2 linked regions of the Oryzias latipes genome follow. The protein of the gene in region 1 purifies or fractionates together with the protein of each later gene. This does not show direct contact. Links are inferred from orthologs where the notes say so. Each region holds a gene or a part of one and is shown in the gene's direction. Other genes may lie near its edges.

Evidence for each region.
Region 2: the proteins of shc1 (region 1) and inppl1 purify together in Homo sapiens (affinity purification with western blotting; 4 studies listed by BioGRID and IntAct, with this or other methods). This does not show direct contact. The link is inferred for Oryzias latipes from reciprocal best matches to the Homo sapiens genes SHC1 and INPPL1.

The regions. Positions count from the first base shown.
Region 1 is NC_019874.2:18,326,788-18,330,445, reverse strand, and holds part of shc1 (SHC-transforming protein 1), read left to right. Parts: intron 1-776; coding exon 777-896; intron 897-2,000; coding exon 2,001-2,054; intron 2,055-2,421; coding exon 2,422-2,473; intron 2,474-3,013; coding exon 3,014-3,140; intron 3,141-3,221; coding exon 3,222-3,369; intron 3,370-3,658. UniProt on the Homo sapiens protein: Signaling adapter that couples activated growth factor receptors to signaling pathways. Participates in a signaling cascade initiated by activated KIT and KITLG/SCF.
Region 2 is NC_019871.2:21,856,766-21,859,256, forward strand, and holds part of inppl1 (phosphatidylinositol 3,4,5-trisphosphate 5-phosphatase 2), read left to right. Parts: intron 1-195; coding exon 196-282; intron 283-354; coding exon 355-1,081; intron 1,082-1,712; coding exon 1,713-1,846; intron 1,847-2,491. UniProt on the Homo sapiens protein: Phosphatidylinositol (PtdIns) phosphatase that specifically hydrolyzes the 5-phosphate of phosphatidylinositol-3,4,5-trisphosphate (PtdIns(3,4,5)P3) to produce PtdIns(3,4)P2, thereby negatively regulating the PI3K (phosphoinositide 3-kinase) pathways.

The DNA.
Region 1 (3,658 bases):
CTGTACCAATGGCTTCCCTGGAATTCTTTTTGTTTTTGCGTAAGCGCACAAAGAGCTTGATTTAAGATAATTGTGCACTTGTGTGGTGAGTGAGCCACTTGCAGGTAATTACCAATCACTATAGGTCTCTTTTCTCCCTCTCCCGTGCCACAGGGGAGGCTTGTGGGGAGCCAGTGTCCGGCTTAAGAAGCACTATGGATTAGCAAACGCAGCCTCCAAACGCTGTGTCTGTAAAACTAAAAGCATCCACCCAAACAGTCTATAAAGCTGTTCGGTCTGCTTGCAAAACTGGGTTTGACCAGTGAATTACTGGCAGTCTACTATTCCAGACAAAAAAATGCTAAAATATGATGACTGCAATAGATAAAACTAGTCACTTCTGCCTTTTTTTTAGGTTACTGTGGCTAAGCATGAGCTGCTTTTCTCAGCATTTTCCAAATATTCTGGAGCAAATTTGGATGAAAGCTGTGAGAACAGGAGGTGGATTGGAGTTGATGAGTTGGCACAATTGTTTTGGCCTGGCCCATGTGATATTCATTGTCAAGCCTAAATTATGTGATCTGGCCTCCCTCACAGGCGTCATTGGCTTTAGAGACCAGATCATTCTTTGGAGTTGCAGTAACCGTCTCACTCCCACACTCAAAAGCATTTACTCATTTATTTCCACAGATATGTATCCAGCTCTCATTCACTCTTATTAATGTTAGTTTCACCAAATAAAATCAGCTTGTGATTTAGTAAAGTTCTTTCTTGCTTTGTGTTGCTCTTCTTCACAGCCTTCCTCTCGGTGTCTCACATCAATTCTGGGAAAGAGTAACTTGCAGTTTGCAGGCATGCCAATCAGCCTCACCATCTCAACCAGCAGCCTAAACCTGCTAGCTTCTGACTGCAAACAGGTTAGACTGCTATCACATTTTCTGGCTCTCTCAAAGTGTTATGCTGACTATTGATTAGCAAGCTCAAGATATTCCTGCTTATCAGTGTGCTTGCGTAACAACCTGTGACGTACACAACCTGTCAATTGTAAGATGTAGTTGTAATGGCGATGATGTTTGAGGAGCCTGGGGGAAAAACAGTTCTGTAATGTAGACATATTTCGAAGAAGCAAGTGTTTTCTGATGCTTTTGCCATTTTCCTGTAAAGGTTTTAAGTTCAGTAATGCAATAGTTATTTTTTCCTAGATGACAAGGATTCTGCGGCAGATGTCTATTTTTCTCTTTAAACTCCTGTCAGTTGTGTTTGTTTTTCGATAAAAAAAATATGTTGAGTGGATTGCTGAGTCTTTTTTTGTGTGTTTTGAAAATATGTATAACTTTTGCAACACTTTTTTTAAGCACTGCTTTCACTCATGAAAGCAAACAGCTCAGAAATGGGAGAAGGCTGACCTGAATGAACGTTTAGTTTCTGGGATAGTCCCGATTACAGGGTTGGCAGTTTCTGGAACATTTACAGATACATTTAGAGCCTCTCCACTTTGTTTAGCTCATTTACTCTGGATGCTGCACAAATCCTTCCTAACATTGTCTTGGTTCTTGCCTTACCACTGGGCAGGATGTGATGCGCCTCTCAGACCTCTAATGAGTTAATAGCCACTGAGCGATGTCTATCTTTGGGGAGATTGGTATACAGCAGTGCAGTGCTTTCACATTAACACATAGCACTAAGGAGCATGTCGTTTAGCACATCATATACCCATTCACCAAAAAGAAAAAACTTGGGTGCATGCATTGTGTATGTGAAGCATTAGCAAGTGTTGTTGCTGTTATTGATCCATTGAGGGTGGTTGTTCCAGACGGTTAGAAAGGTGCTCCATCCCTTCTTCATTTTTTATCTTTGTTGCAGATGTTCGATTGAGGAAAAGGGGCTATTATTTTTATATAACCAGTACATATTTCTTTTTTCCATAAACACGCTTTGATTTCACTTCCTACATACTTCATCTTCCCCGTGTGCTCTCCTTCCCCTTCTCTCCTTCCATCCACTCTTCTTTGTCTCCACAGATTATTGCCAATCATCACATGCAGTCCATATCCTTTGCCTCTGGAGGAGACCCAGTGAGTCACCCAGCCCTCTCTTTCAGCTCAAGTCGCACTCTGGGCTTTTTCCATCTTTCATCACCGTGCATGTCCTTCCTTCCTGTCTTAAGTCATTGTCTAATCCTATGAATACCACTTAATTCACTGCTGCCTCAGTGGCTCGCAGCCCCCGTCCGCATTACTTCCTGTTATCTCTTTTCCAGCTCATAGTATGTCTCTAACTTCTGTTGCGACTTAAAGATGGCAGCTTTTGCTTGATCTATTTCCTTGTCTTCTTCTCAGCCTTTCAGTCTCAAAGCTACCCTTCACTTTCTTTCCTCTTATTGATTTCCCTCCCCCATCCCTTTCCTCTCCTCCCCTAACTATCTTCCCCTGTCTCCCTTAGGATACAGCAGAGTACGTAGCATATGTGGCCAAAGACCCAGTCAACCATAGAGGTGAGCAGAAACGACACAATAAAACCATCTTAGAGGTTACATCCTACGGAAGAGTCTGAAAACGGAACTTGGGTTCCTCTATGAAGAGATTTAATCATGATTCTGTGGCCCATAAATCAGCCGTTTCCTGTGTTCTCTCTTTTTGCATGGTGATAAAGAGCTGCAGACTATTTTCCTGGCAACTTCAGAAAAATATTATCAGCAGCCAATTTTTTTGTAAAGAATGAAATAATTTACCAACATTTAGAAAAAGGACAAAATTAGTGTTCATTTTCTCACACAACTATGTAAGGGGAGCATTTAAGGCCTTTCTAAATGATGCTCATCAAGCGCTGCTTTAATGTATAGAAGAGCAAGTGAAGAAAACCCTTTTTGCTAATGTAGCTTTCTCTGAGGCACTTGATCAAAATTCACAAGCCATCTTTACGTCTCTCTGCACTGTCTCTGTTTCAACTTATTTTCCGTTTGAGCTCTGGATTCCTTTCAAGGATGCACAGCTACAGCCTCCTAATCTGTTCTTCCTCTCTCCTCTGTTTGCAGCATGTCACATCCTGGAGTGCACAGAGGGTTTAGCTCAAGAAGTCATCAGCACCATCGGCCAGGCATTTGAACTGCGTTTCAAACAATACCTTAAAACCCCCCCTAAACTGGTCACCCCCCATGACAGGTACGTTCGAACAAAAACCTTAAACTATATGTTTTAAACTACTCTTTTTGCTCATCTGTTTTTTTTTAAATCTCCTGTCAGAATGGCTCCGTTTGACGGCTCTGCATGGGATGAAGAGGATGATGAGATTGCCCCGCCTCCTGAAGTTCCTTACTACAATAATTTCCCTGGGAAACAGCCTCCTCCTGGTGGAATTATTGACATGAGGACCCGCTCCGGAGCCACACTGGTGAGAAGACATCCGCTTATGCACACAACTCAGCACATTCGAATCCAGAGAGGCCTGCAGCACAGAGACGACAAACCAGGAAGAAAAATCCAAATATGTCATTTACACATATAGGTGTTTTTTTATGGTCTGAAGTATGAACACCCACAATCTGCAATGATTCAGCACTGCCCTACTTGTATCTCGGTGAAAAACTGTTGTATCCACGATGTGTGCTCAAATCAGTAAGATTTAGACCTTTTAACATCTTCACATTCACTAGTATTCTATTTTGAAGTTCATCCTTCAG
Region 2 (2,491 bases), on another chromosome or scaffold:
CGACAGTTTCGGTAAATAGATGACAACCAGACAGAAGAAGAAGAAGAGACGTTTGTTTACAGTTTGGCTGTTTTGCTGCAGCTCAACAGAAAAAAAGTTGAAGTGCACTTGGACTCCCTGCAGGGTTTCTGCTTCAACTGAATGTTCAGATGTCTCCTTTTGTCCCGCCTCCTAACTCCTCCTGATGTGTTTCAGGCCTTCTGTGGTTCGCAAGCAGCTAGGAGAGCTGGGAAAGGTCAGTGAGGAGGCGGAGAGAAGCAGCAAGGAGGAAACCGCAGCAAGGTACAGTGAGAAGTGTTACCTGAAGGAGAAGGTTGCCATCTTTTTGATCTTGTGTTTTTTGTTTTTGGGAAGACCCAAGCAGGACGGGCCCGACGGCGGCGACTCCATCAGCAAGAACAGCTTCAACAATCCCGCCTACTACATCCTGGAAGGAGTTCCCAACCAATCCGCTGCAGCTATTTCCCCAGAACTCCTCCCATCTCCCACTTCCAGCAACCCCCCAGCAGCTAAAGTCAACCCACCCTCAGCAGGAGTTCGAACCAAACCCCCTGCTGCACCCTCAGGGCCCCTTCACTTACGCAGAGCTGCAGCAGGCCCCCCAGCCCGGACAATCACTGAAGAGGGCTCCTCAGAGGACGATGGAGGTTCCTGCGTGGCGGGGGCACAGGGAGGAGGTGCTGGGAGCACTTTGAATCGGCCCCCTCCTGACTTTCCCCCTCCTCCTCTGCCTAAAGGAGCCCTGGAGATGGTAACGGAGGCCCCATTTAACAAACCCCGCCCCCTGTACCCAGATCTGGCTGAAGTCAGGATCCCACCAGCTGCACCTGGGGGCCCGCTGGCCCTGGGAGAGGGCTTCAGGCGAGGTGGGGGGATGGCGTTGGATGACCAGTCATGCTCCGTGCTGCAGATGGCTAAGACGCTGAGCGAGAGTGAGTTTGGTGGGCAGCCTCCACCCCGTGCTCCCTCAGCACCTCCACCTCTCCGAGGGCAGCCCATGGGGGCGGGTCTGGATGCCTGCCGCACCTTCCCCCCTAGAAACCCCATCACGGAAAGCATCGCAGAGGACATGCCGGAGGAGGTGAGCAGCGTTAAGGCTTAATAAACGCTCCACTTTGATCCTCCTAATCATCCCATAGACTTGTACAGAAGTAAACAGTTTATTACTCAGTCACTCTGTTTGTCAGAAGTACCATTTTTGCTTTGATACTTTAAAAAAAAAACACATTTTAAGGATATTTTTTTCTGTAATTCAAGTTAATTAAGTTATAAAATGACCAATCAGAGGCCTCAATAAAAGTAGGTGGGGCCGGCTGACCCCCATGTCCAACATTCGAAACCTTTGATTGACAGATTTCATGTAGCACAATTTCACGTGGTAGTGGTGTAGACTTCCAATAAGCTCACACCTGATAAGCCATGGTGGTTCCTATAGAAACGACTCAGACCATTCACTGTTTACTGACGTCTGGCTCCAGCATGGCGGCGTCAGTATCACGAAAAAATGGTGACTGAATTGACTTCATTTGGTCGGACGGATACCATTTTCAGTGGGTGACGTCCCACTCAATCCAGTTCTCTGATACAGTCAAACTCCCAATCCCACTGTCAGGGTGGACACTCCCACACTAGATCACTACTGTCCGTGGTTTACATTCCGGATTTCTCCAAATCATGGTTTGGTTGACTGATCCAGCGTTTCATGTTCGCAGGCCCTTTGGGGGAGCAGCAGCTCGTCTCTGTCAGTGGGGGAGTCGTCAGTGGGGGAGTGGCTGCAGAGGCTGGGCCTGGAAAAGTACGAGCAGGGCCTGCTGCACAATGGCTGGGACGACCTGGAGTTCCTCAGGTGCATCCAGTCGGTCCGGAAGTACCTTTACCCCTTTAACGCCAGAGATTTAGCTCCAGTGTTGATCTTCTTTGGATAGCAGTAACTCTTCACTCGCTAATGCATTTAACGAAATTCCAGCAGATTCTGAAAGCTGAGAAAAGTAGCTTTGTGCTGATTTGCAACACTTTACATCCTTAACCACAAAGCTGATGGAGTTGCGTCAACTGCGTAAACGGTCAAAGAGTTACAGGGGTTCAAAGAGTGTGCATATTATCCAATGACAGCTGAGTAGCACGCCCTCTGAACTCAGAACCAGCTGATTCTGAGGTGCAGAAATGTGACTTTTCACATCAACTTTGCACCGAAATGCAACACATTACTGCAAGGTGTAGCATAGTGGCGCAAAGCTGTTCGTGCATCAGAATCAGTGGATTTACATTGATTTACTTCACTACTGAAGTGTTGCATATCAACGTAAAGCTGCTTATTTCTGCCTTATAATCTGCTGGAATTATGTCTTTAATTGCGTAAACAGTTGAAGAGTTGGGGAAATCGAAAGAATGTCAAAACAAGAGCTAAAGCTTCGGTATTGAAGGGTTAAACCTGATAGAAATATTTAGCAAGAACTATATTCAGAAACTGTAAAAAAAAAAATTAAATTAA